2 linked regions of the Arabidopsis thaliana genome follow. The protein of the gene in region 1 interacts with the protein of each later gene in a pairwise test. Each region holds a gene or a part of one and is shown in the gene's direction. Other genes may lie near its edges.

Region 1 (7,363 bases):
GTGATCTAAGTACTCGTAAGAAACTTATAAGTTATACCTTTCATTTTTTTACTAGGTCAGTACCTACTTGTTAATACTTTATGCACACACATAGTTTGGCAATAACTACTAAAACATCTATCTTGGTTACTCGAAATGCGTGGAATATGTTAGATATAGATAATATATATTGATTCTTGATTCTCATGAGCTCGTCTATGTGTGTATGTCGCAAAGACATACCACTCTGTTGGAATTATGGAATAGACACTATCTTCACAAATTCAAGATAATATGTTGCTAAAACTTTTGTTGTCTTCTTCCCAGCTTATATCACACTGACATGTAAGTATGTAACATGTCCGTTGACATATATAATGTTTTCCTTTTTGTTAATCGTGCTTGTCTTTAGGTACAATGACTTTTTAAGTGTTCTTGATTCCTTTTATCTAAGATTGAATTTAAAATATACGCTTCTTTGTCACCCAACTAAAAAACGTATTGAAACAACCAATTCTTAAAATAAAAATAGAGATTTGTTTCCATAGTTGAACTTGCATTACCAAAAAAGAGGCGAAGTAATTATTTTGAATTATTTACCGTTTAAAGAATCAATGTTTGAACTCGAAAAAATTGTATGATTTGTCAAGTTTTTGTCTGATATTAACTACGTACAACGGTACAAGTATCCTTTCTTTACCTTTTCTTATTTATTTACCAGTCTCATCTCTGTAAATGAAAGGTTCCGAGATTCTTACATCACTAGAAGAAGCAATCTCATTCCCAGCTGATGTTGTTTGTTGCTCTCTGTAAGATGCCCAAGTAACCATATAAAGCCCGCAAATGATGAGGATTCCACCCAAAACGCTGCGGAGAGAACAAAAACCAAGGTGTTTATATGATCCAATACAAGAAGACAGAAAGGTTTGTATGTGTCTGGATGAATCAAAGATACAAAGAAGAGTGCATAAAATTTAAAAACCTTCCAAGATAGATCGGGCTGCCGAGGAAAATTGTCGATAAAAAGGCCGATGTTGCAGGCTGAAGAGGATTGTATAGGGAAACCAAAGCAGCTCCAAGAATTTTATTGGACCAAGTCAAGAGTCCATAGTTTAGAGCTGAGGCAAACACTCCCTGAGGAATAAAAACCGAAAAGAAAACAATTAAACACAAACTAGTAAGATGAATCCGTATGTACAGAATCGAGTTCCAATCTTTTTGAGTTCAAGTTCAAATGATTTGAGCTCAAGCTCCAAAACACAAACACACCCAAATAAACATATTACATCTCGGTTGTGAAAACTTACTGCGAATATAACAGCAAGAACCTCAGATTGTGTTAAGCTCCAATCTTTAGGCTCTCTAACAAACAAGATAGCTGTTGTGATCATTATTGATGCACCGAAGAAGTATGAATACGCAGCAACCGAAAGGTAGGCAGGATACTTCTTCAAAACCGGTGCTTGGACAGCGAGAAAAGCAGCCATACACATACAGTTTCCAATCAAACATAAAACTCCAATGTGCCATTGATCAAACCCAAGACCAAGAAAACTAGAGACTAACCACCCATTAAGCTCTGGTTGACTTCTATCAATAATTACACTTTTCACTGAATCTGCTGCATCTTTACCTCCAAACAAGGCTGGACCACGAAACAAAGCCATCGCTATAGCACCCGAAACACAAACAAGAGTACCTCCAACTTTCGTTTGGCCCTCGACTTTCAACAAGTTCACTTTTTCTGTACTGTATACAAAGAAGAAGACCATCAAAAGATTGAAACTTTATATTACAAATTTTCACATTTTACAGTAATGTTGAGGAAACTCATACTCACCCCATCAAGACAGCCAAGAGAAATGTAAAGACAGGGATTGATGGTTGTATAGCAGCAGCATAAGTTGGATTCGTGTAAGATAAACCCATAAGAAATAGTAACTGGTTCCCAAATATCCTATCAAGATTGAGATTGAATGTTGTTATTAGAATCTTTCATTAGCATGATTCAAAAGATAAAGAGATACAAGCTGATTACTTTACCCTGCTAAACCAAGAAAGAAGAGTGAAAAGAAGATGCTTCTATTCATAGGAGGTCTGATCGTTCTACAAGAAATTAAAAGAGCAAATCTTTATCAAAAGACAAATCCAAGTCACACAAAATTGCAATCCATCATTAAACAATAGAACCAGAATTAACAAAGAAAAACAACCCTAATTCCAATTCCAGAGAGATCAAACTATTTGTCTGATTTTGCCGCATATAAACTCATCAAAACAATCAGAAACAGAGACTTCAGAGACTTTAGCAATTCAAGCAAAAGGATAAAGAAACAGAGAGATTTTGAGAAGAAGATAAAAAGGGACCTTTCACGGAAAAAAGCGAGAGGTGCGAGAATGGAGAGAGCAAGAAGATCGCGAAAGACACAAAAAACGAGCTGATTTACACCAACGTTAAGAGCTACTTTCGTAACCACATGGTATCCTCCATTTATGACCTGAACCAATGTCATTGCAGAGTGAGCCATTCGTGTTTCTCTCTCCGTCGCATCGCCGCCGTTTAGGATCGCCGGAGCTGCCATTTTTCTTCTCTACCTCCGAATCGAGGAAGAAGAGAAGGAACACCTGTTGACTAAAGAAATTGAGATCCTTTGATTTGCTCTGTAAATTGTAATTCTAACTTCTCTGTTTTTTCGTTCCAAAAAAAAAAAAAACTTCTCTGGTCATTGTAGTCGTTGGTCTTCTTCAATTTGTTAACTATGATTTTTTGTTAAGTTGAGGCAAAAAAAAATTTGCCAGATTATTTTCTTAAATCTTATACACATTGAAGCCTAACAGATTAACACATTTGTTAAATATGCTCATATATCCTACTTAAAAAATATGAAAATTTTCCACAAAAAATGGTGTAATATAAAAATTCGGTTTACTCGGGTTAAACGGTTCGGTTTGTTCGGTTTTCCGGGTTTTTCGGTTTTCAAAAATTCTGCCGAATTGAACCGAACAAAAATTCGGTTCGGTTCGGTTCGGTACTCGGTTTTTTCGGTTCGGTTACTAGGATTTATAATTCGCCGAAATTAAACCGAATTTTTTTTAATCGGTTAACCTAATCAGTTTAGATCACAATATTAGGCATAGTGGGCTGTTTTTAAAGCCCATATCGGCTTTTGACATTTAAAAACCCAAAACTTTTTTTTTGAGGGACAAGTAAAGTCAAAAAGCCCATGACGGTTTTTAACTTTTCAAAACCCAAATTCTTTTTTTCCAGGGACAAGAAAAGCCCATCACACCCATCTAGGGTTTTGTTTTGTTTTATTTTTTGGAAATGACGGCCGTCAAAGAAAAACAAGGGTGAGATGAAGAAGAAGAACATTGAAAACAGAGAAAATAGATTTGTATTGTGCGGTGGTGAGAAAAGATGTAGAGAACCATGAAATCATTGCCAGAGAAGATCGATGTCGCGGTGGCTTAATAGAATATTTCTGCGAACCTAAAAGGTGGAGAAGAAGAACGAAGACAAGGAGAAGAAGGAGGAATAAGGAAGAATTAGAAGGTTAAAAGATAAAAATGGGTTAGAGATGAGGAGAAATAAAGGTGTTCGTGAAGAGGAGAGTTTAGAAAACAAAGAAGATGAAGTGATAGATCTAGGATTTTTCTGTTTTAAAAGGTATCTCCCCAATCCGAACAAAACCGATCGGTTTTGATGAACCGAACCGAAAAACCCGAAAACCGAAATCAATTTAAAATTCTACCGAACGATTTACAACAGAAAATCGGTTTGAAACCGAAAACCGAAATCGTCGGTTTGTTCGGTTCGGTTTAAACGGGTTATGCCGAACTTCCAGGCCTAATTTTTACAGTGTAATACTGAAGTTGGTAAAATATGCCTTTATTTATGTCGATTAGTGGATCTAGTAATATAACATTTCCTTAAATGAAAAAACTCCTTAAAAAGTAGTTGCTGATCCAATAACAAATGTTCTGTTTTAAGAAAATTTAATTATAGTAGTAGTTCGAACGTCGTTAACTCGTAATAATAATTCAGAAAAATGTTGTTATTTAATCACGTTTAGAAAGCTAATTTGTATTAATGACGCTAACGACAAGGAGGAGGGTTAGTGTTATGGGCTTATTTATTAATATATGGCCCATTTAGGTTATTAGCCCATTTATCAAAATTATTCGGCCCGAGGTCGTCTCCAATCTCACGCCACCGATTCCAAACGCCAACCCTCTCGAGTCTTGTCTCTCTCCAATCCTTTCCTTGGCCGCATAAACGCAACCATCGTCGTCGGAGCTTTGATCTTCACCGACTGAAAAGTATGTCTGTTTCCGATGAGGAAGATGAGTGTTTCGCTCGATTCCTCGAATCAGAAGTCTCATCGGTATAAAAATTTCTCCGTTTATTCAAATTTTCGATTTCATTTAGGGTTTAGTAATTTCTTCTCCATCAATCTTTGAATTTTGTAGCTGAATCTGAAATTCTGTCGAGATTTTCCCGTTCCCCTAGTTTTTTTTTTCATTTTTGATAACTTCAGTTCCTTGATCTGTAAATTTGATCTTATATGCATACATTTGAAATTTTTGAAAAATCACATAATTTTTGTTCATGTTCTTCGATTGATGTCCATTGTGATTTTGCTCTTGTTCAGCGTTGTCCTGTGAAAGGTTAGATTATTTATTGATGCTTTGGTTTTTGTAGGTAGAGGATAAAGAAGAAACGAAAGAACCTGAGGCAAAACGGCAACGTATTGAGAAAGGCGAAACAAAGGCTCTAGAGAAGGATGAAGATCAAAAGGAAAATGGTAACAAAGATAAAACTGATGCAAAGAGAATAGAGAGTGGAGTTTTCACCAATGTTCCTACTGAGCTGTTTCGTCATATTCTCAAGTTCTTATCTTCGGAGGTATATACTATATAGTTCAAACTCGAACTTTATTGATGTTTGAGGATTGCTTTTAAACTAAATTGTTTGAATGTCATTACAGGATCTTGTATCATGCTCCTTGGTTTGTAAATTTCTCAATTTTGCTGCGGCTGATGAATCCTTATGGCGTCGCCTGTAAGCCTCTTCTTGTACCCCTTATTGTCGTTGATAATCTTGTTTTCAAAATCAATACTTTGTATTCAAAAACGATGTGATGATCTTATTGGTTGTTTTTTGTTTATATGCAGGTACTGTATCCGGTGGGGTCTAACTCTTCCAAGTAGAAAGTTACGTGAATCTGCTTGGAAGAAGCTTTATATTGATGTGAGTTTCTCCTTGGTTTTTCGTATAAACTTGTTAGATGTTTCCAAGTAGTATTACATTGCTGAAGAATATACAGTGTTAGTTTGCGTTGCTAGTAGAAGTCAGATCATATATATTTTTAAGTGATTCCTTTCTCTTGTCGAATTTTAGCGTGATGAACAGGACATGATTGAACTTGTCAGAACCTGTCCGTCGGATTTCAAGGAGTATTACGTACATATGCAAGCAGCAAAGAGAAGCCAAGCACCTCTTCCGTCCCAGGTAACTATTTATAATTATCTGTTTATGTTTTAGGACAAATCATCACGTGAAGAATTTTCTCATGTTCTTGTTTGCAATTTTTAGATGGTGGATGACCGGATAATTCTTGACAATACTGTACTTGAACAAGTTTCTCTATGGAAGAAAAGCAAAGGACTTACTGATAAGGCTGTCACTGGCCATATTTGTTTGGGAACCAAATGTTCATACCATCAGATTGACGACGTGTTCATATGCAAAGAGACGGGAAATGTTCATGGTATGTAATGAAATGCTGTAAAATGTAACTTTGTTACTGTGTTTTACTCTAAACTTACATAGTTTTTATGGTCTTTATAACAGTATGCGATGATAACTGCAAGGAAGTAATACTGAGTCCAGAGGGTGACCTCATGGTGTGTACTATCTCAGGAGTTTGTTCTGATACTTTACTTGTACAAACTGAGCCAGACGCAGATGGGTGTTATGAGGAAGAAGCTGAACTAGAAGCTGAAGTATTCACAGATAAAAGCCGATTAGGTACACATCTATCTATCTCTTTCTCATATCTCTCACACACTTCCTTTTCCAAATATTATTTTTATTTTCCAACATAAGTGAACTATTTGCGTCTTCTTTTCATCGCAGCCCGAGCTTTTGAACTTGGCTACAACTGCGATGATGAGCAGGAACTGGAACGTACCCTGAGGTTCTGCTGAGCAAAAGTCTCGACCTTTTGTCCAATTTCATAAGGCCTACTTTCTGTAAGGTCTTCTCTCTCTCTCTCTCTCTGACCTGATTCTGCCTGGGTTCTGTGGAGTTGAAATGAATCAAATGTAGCTCTTGTTTTAATCAGTCAGCTTTGTAACGTATACATATATATCATTGTATGTGATTAACATTGTCCTTAAAAAGTGTTACACCTAGTAATTACGTTCCAACTTTATCAGTAAACCTATTGGTAACTAGTAATTTGCTCCCGATATTGGTTTTCTCATTAATTTTTATAGCCATTCTTTGTTCATTTAAACCATATTACAAATTTGTCCTGGTTAGAACTGATTATGATGACAAATCGATGATTAGTTCAAAATGAAGTTTATAGCAATATATTCTAATAACTATACATCAATTATCACCACTGATGTGTTTGAATGAAAAATGAATTGATAATCTTAATAAATGTTTGATTTTATAGATAAGTATAAAGTATGAATGGATTTAGAAAATTTTAGTATTTAGTGAGATAAGCATAAGCAAAACTAGAAAAATGAAATTATTATTAAATAAATTCATTAATACACATTGGCAATGTGACATTGCCTAAAATCAAATATGTACTAATTCAATTAATGTTAATAAGAATTTTTTGGATTCGATTCTCTTGCGAAAGTGCAAATTAAAAGACATTCTTATCTCCTACGTAAACAGAATCACGCGTCCATTGCGCGTTCTCGCAACGCTAAAATATTTACGTTGGAAAATATTCTCATAATTCTCTCCTTTGCCCCCACAGTTTAATATATTTCATAAACACCCCCACGAGAAATTAAAAACCGTTCCAAATTTGAAAAAATACAACAAACAATTCATGAAAATATTCAATCTATAAGCAAAACATTGGTAGTGTTACATGTGTCGTCCTTCGTGCTGAAAATTTGGATAGCATTGTTAATTATGACAACGTAAGTGTAGCCTGTGATTCATAGTAAAATATAAGGACTAAAAATAAAAATATATCTTTTTTGGAAATCGTACCGCGTAAGAAACATGTATAAATACCTATAAGGTCTTATTTTTTTCTCTTCCAATTTCGTTTCGACATATTTCGCGATTCGTCTAAGGTAAAAAAAAACTCATCTTTTTTTCTTTTAGATCGTTAATTTTTGATCA
Region 2 (5,481 bases), 1.5 Mb from region 1:
AATAAAAGATGTTTTACAAATTTCTATGCAACTTTTCAATGCATTTAATATTTTATTATCATTGGTTAAAAATTTTAAAACTAAATTTTACTCCCTAAATTTCTATGGAGTCAATGATAGTTAGAAAATAAAATCTTAAAATATGTATTTTTAACTAAAACATCCTATAATTAATATGAAACAAGAGTCTAACAATATTAAAGGTTTTAAGCGGACTTTTAGGAATCTGAAATAGAATATAATAAAGCTCACCATTATTTTCGAGAAGTAAAAGATGAGAGATTTGTTGATGATAAAAGTGGTGGTGATCAGTACAGTCGGATATACATTTTTAATGGTAATATAATTTTTGGTTTCAAAGTTAAAGAAGATTAAAGCTTTGTTTATGAAGCTGAGTATGCCGGATTCTGTTAACAATAGTGTTCATTTCGTTTTTGTTAACATCATTTGGTTTTTGTTTCGACTAATTTTTATATGAATTTATTTATTTTTTTCTTTTTTTGAATCTGTAATTGTAAATGGTATTAAGCCTAGTCCAAGCAAAATTTACCAGTTAAATAGACAGCGATATAGGTGTTGAGTTAATCAGGGCAAACTCTTGTACTTAAAGATGTACTTATATGTCTGACTAGTATGATGAGAGCCATACAATGTACATGATAGGTGGTGTCCTAGTGCATGTGACGTTATGTAAAACAAAACTAGGATTTTATAAAACCCACATTTTTTTATGGTGTTCAATCAATTCTTGTGGTTTCGTTATTTAATTACTTGAACGTCATAATGTCTTGGTAAAACACCCTTTTAATGTTTTCCTATCTGTCACGTGTTTGTTCATATTACGTACGTTGGATTCACACGAAACACATTTCTACACCAGTTTCATACAACCTTTATATGAAAATATGTTTTTACTTAGACTACTACTCAGAATCTTAATTAGTCCATACAGAAGAATACAAAGCAGAAAAAATATCATTAAGAACCTCAGAAAATAGAGCAACATAAAAGCTCTATAATACTACTATTGAAGCTCTTTCATTTTGGAAGAAAATAAATTAGCCAACAGAATATAGAACAACATGGCACAACACTTTTCTCGACATTTAAGTTCTGAAAAAGCAATGCTAATTATTAATTTAACCTGCTTAACTTTTTTCCAACAAAATTATAAATTCTGTTTCTTTTAATTATTAATGAAGAAATCATGAGCTATCGTATTATACAATGTTTGCGGTTGTATGGCCATTTGTGTTTTGGGCCGGTAAAATGGAATTTCAAAGCTAGGGTCGTTGATTTATTTGCTTTTCTGTGACCGGTGAAATGGAATTTCAAAATTTCTCTTTACCTTACTTTGAGACTAAAAGTATTTTCTTCTTCTATGCTTACAAAAAGTACTTTAGTTTGAGAGCTGTATAAAATAATAGCAATCATGTTCTAGGAATTAGAGGCGACGGAGAAGTCCAATCCACTAAAAAGTTAAAGAAGATAGCACTTGAAGATAATGCGTTAAAGTAGTTATTTATTTTCTAACAAATAAATTTCAATTAAATAGGCGCTATATTTACTAGACTGGTTTACATTAATTTACATTAATATAAAGAACAATATTAATTTACATTATGTATTTTTTATATTATTTACATTAATTTATTACTAAAATGTTTTTATTTTCGTTTCTAGAATCTTTTCTACATTCAAAATATACAACAGAAATTAAATTAAAAAGTATAATTACAGAAGCATCAATGCATAAAATCTCTAGAGCTGATTATGTATAAAATAATCGACGGTACTAAAAAATTGCAACAACTGATTTTTTCGAGAAAAAAAATTGACTGCTATAAAATTGACCATGTATTCAGTTATTCAGACCTGGTCTTGTCTTGACTCCTTCAGCATAGCTGAGAAAATCCATGTTTACGGTCTAGTGAACAATATTTGGGTTCACTTATTAGGTAAATCTTTTTATTTATTTCCTCTTATCTTAAGTTTTTAACCAATCTGAATTCGTTATTTAATAAAAGAAATTTAAACTCATTTAATTATAAAATTTAAATCATAATCATTTTTTTATAAACTCAAACTCATATATAATTTAGTCTAATTATAAAATCTAAATCCTAATTTTTTTATTTCAGCCAATCAGAATATACTACCTAATAAAAAGTTAAAAAAACTTATTTAATTATAAATAAAAAATCTAAATTCTAAATAAAAAGTAAAAAAAAATTAAATTCTAACCACTTTTTAAAAAATTCAAACCAAAATGTAATCTCGTTTAATTATAAAATCTAACCCTAGTTCTTCTTTGTACACCCAATTCGATATTTAAACTCTTTTAATTGCAAACTCTAAATCTCTAACCGTTCTTTCTAAACCCAAACCGATATTTAACATTGTTTAATTATAAAATCTAAATCCATTTATAAAACCAAACAGACGTTCAATCTCGTTTAGTTATAAAATCTAAAACTGTTTATAACTCAAATCGATATTTAATAGTAAAATCTAAACTTCAATCCTTTCTTATAAACCCAAAACTATATAAAATTTTGTTCTTGTGGCAAATTAGATTTTATAATAAAATAAATTTAATTTATTTATTAGGTATAAATTCTAATTTAATGGAATAAAAAGGTGAATAAAGGGGTGAATCTAAATATATTTTTTATTGGCCCATATTTTTTACTAGGATAATGGCCGATTATGCTTTGGTGAAAATTTAGATAACGCAAGTTAGATTTTTCTCACTTTATTTAATAAGATAAGATTTTAGCGGGGATGAAATTTTTACAAGCGAATCCCTCAATATTTCACTTATGTTCGTGGATGATAGCTTCTTTTTTGTAAAACGACAAAAAAAACAATGCGTCATTGGATTTGGAATACTAAAGAACTATGAAGAGGTTTTTGGTCATGAGTTGACAACTCGATGATGGACAAACTTATGGCAATCTTCGAAATCACTAATATAGGGGACATGAACAACTACTTGAGATTATCGAAAAGTTTAGGAGGATCTAAGACAAAAAAAATTTACTCTTTTAGAAAATATTTACATAATAGAATAAATGGTTGGTTTACAAAATTCTTATCTAAAGATGGCAAAGAAGTATTGATTAAATCAGTACCAGATGCATTGCTTACTTATGTATTGTCTTGTTTTAGATTACCAAAATCAGTAACATCAAAACTTAGGAATGTAGTAACGAAATTTTGGTAGAGTTCCAATGGACGAACAAAACGTTTACAGTGGAAGGCATGAGATAAATTTTGTCATAGTGCCTCTCTGCTCTCCCTCTCCTCCTCCGGGTGCCTCTCTGCTTGCTACTTGGTTCCGTCTCTTCAGTTAGGTCCTCCTCTGCGGTTCAGGTTTCCTTATGAGTTTTTTGAGTCCTTGGGTCGTTCCCTCTTCGTTCTTTTGGTTTTTGGGCCTGCTATTTTTAAGTTTCAGCTTCTTTGGTTGTTTTGGGCTTTGCTCTTGTTGTCGGGCCTGCGCGCCTTGGATTTGAGCTTTTGGATGTGTATGTTTTCGAGCCTGTGTGCTTATGTTTGGACACTTGTCTTATAACTTGTTGTTTGTTTTAATGGAAATTTAAAATTAAAAAAAAATAAGAAAAATAAAATAAAAAATAAATAAGTTTTGTCGTAACGGTGGACTTGGTTTCTAGAATGTGGATGATTTTAATACAACTTAATTAGCAAAACAACTGCCGCAATTGATTATGATTCTTAACTCTTTATTTGCAAAGATGTTCAAAGAAAAATATTACCGGAAATCAAATCACATGAATCCAATTAAATTATACACACCATCCTACAAATAGAGGAGTTTAGTATCTGTTCAACTACTGATTAATCAAAAGTTGATGAAAAGAGTTGAATTAATTTTCAGGTGTTTTCCTTTGAAAGAAAAAAACAGAGAAAATGTTTTAAAATGAAAATTTATAGGTAAAAAAAGTCAATTGGGAATCGTTAGATCTCACTGGTTCAATGTGTGAGCCGGGCTTTAAAAACATTTTGATTTAACCCATACACACATCTCTCTGTTCCACGATTCTCTTCCTCAGCCTCCACGTCGTCTCTAAACTCAGCAAAAACCAATGTCGACGGTGAGAAAAATCACTCTTAAGAGTTCGGATGGCGAAAACTTCGAAATTGACGAAGCGGTGGCGCTAGAGTCACAAACCATCAAACATATGATTGAAGATGACTGTACCGATAATGGTATCCCTCTCCCTAATGTCACAAGCAAGATCCTTTCGAAGGTGATTGAGTACTGTAAGAGACATGTCGAAGCTGCTGAGAAATCCGAAACCACGGCCGATGCTGCTGCTGCTACTACTACCACCACCGTCGCGTCGGGTTCTAGTGATGAAGATCTCAAGACTTGGGATTCTGAGTTTATCAAAGTTGATCAGGGCACTCTCTTCGATCTTATCCTGGTTTGTCAAACTTATTTTTAATTGCTTTGGTTTTCAAAGTTTGCGATTTCATTTCTAGGGTTTGAGATCTTGATTTCTGTTTGAGATCTAATTTTAGGGTTCAGGTTTTGTTTAGATTGCCAATTTCACAGTTTAAACTATGATCATGTCTGATTGAAATATATGGTCTGATAGAGAAAAAAGTGTCAAGAGATTTCTTTTGAGTTTGTTGGATTTGTTTATAGCTGAAGACCACTTTACATCCAAACTCATGTTTTTTATGTTCTGTCTTAAACATTGGATAATGTTTAATTTCTTTGGGATTTGCTTGAATCTAGATTTGTTTTTCTGAGAAACCTTTTGGATGCTAACATGACATGTTTTGTTCTGTCTGAAACGAGTGATAAAGTTTATTTTCTTTGGAATCGTAGTTCAATATGTTTGATTTGCTTGAACAATAAAGTTCCATTTTTATCTGAAAGTTGAAGAGCTTGAATCTAAGTTGGTTTCCCTGTGACACCTTTTAGGCTGCTAACTACTTGAATATCAAGGGACTGTTGGACTTGACTTGCCAGACAGTGGCTGATATGATTAAAGGAAAAACCCCAGAAGAAATCCGTAAGACGTTCAATATCAAGAACGACTTCACGCCAGAGGAAGAAGAAGAGGTTCGCCGTGAGAATCAGTGGGCGTTTGAATGAAGAAAAATGAAGACCTAGGTTGCTGTCATGTCCTCGACCCATTTGTGTCTCCCTGTCTTATCTTCTTTCTTTGACTATATATCCATTCTCTTCTACGTGATGGTCCAGCTAAGACAGTGGGTCGGATGTTAATGTTATGTTATGTATGTCAAATTAAAGACTTAACTACGAAACATATTGAAGTTGTTGCTCAAAAGAGAGTGTTGGTCTTCTATTGTTTCGTCAATCATTTAGATAGGTTGTGAACACAAGTGATAAGATTTGTCTGCATGTTCTTAGAAAGAGAAAAGATCTTATTACTTGTAAATAAATGCCTATACAAGCACACACGAGAGATTGATAGATAATTCTGA

Evidence for each region. The genes of interacting proteins can lie anywhere in the genome.
Region 2: the proteins of AT5G45360 (region 1) and AT5G42190 interact in a two-hybrid assay, tested with the Arabidopsis thaliana proteins (2 studies listed by BioGRID).

What each region holds. Positions count from the first base shown.
Region 1 is NC_003076.8:18,383,609-18,390,971, reverse strand, and holds AT5G45360 (F-box family protein), read left to right. Parts: upstream 1-4,100; 5' UTR 4,101-4,301; coding exon 4,302-4,364; intron 4,365-4,681; coding exon 4,682-4,885; intron 4,886-4,967; coding exon 4,968-5,041; intron 5,042-5,154; coding exon 5,155-5,230; intron 5,231-5,380; coding exon 5,381-5,491; intron 5,492-5,575; coding exon 5,576-5,750; intron 5,751-5,833; coding exon 5,834-6,010; intron 6,011-6,118; coding exon 6,119-6,189; 3' UTR 6,190-6,483; downstream 6,484-7,363. Other genes in the region: UMAMIT1 (nodulin MtN21 /EamA-like transporter family protein), read right to left, coding at 690-846, 962-1,113, 1,287-1,728, 1,820-1,936, 2,023-2,085, 2,347-2,561.
Region 2 is NC_003076.8:16,854,142-16,859,622, reverse strand, and holds AT5G42190 (E3 ubiquitin ligase SCF complex subunit SKP1/ASK1 family protein), read left to right. Parts: upstream 1-3,881; 5' UTR 3,882-4,106; coding exon 4,107-4,448; intron 4,449-4,954; coding exon 4,955-5,128; 3' UTR 5,129-5,432; downstream 5,433-5,481.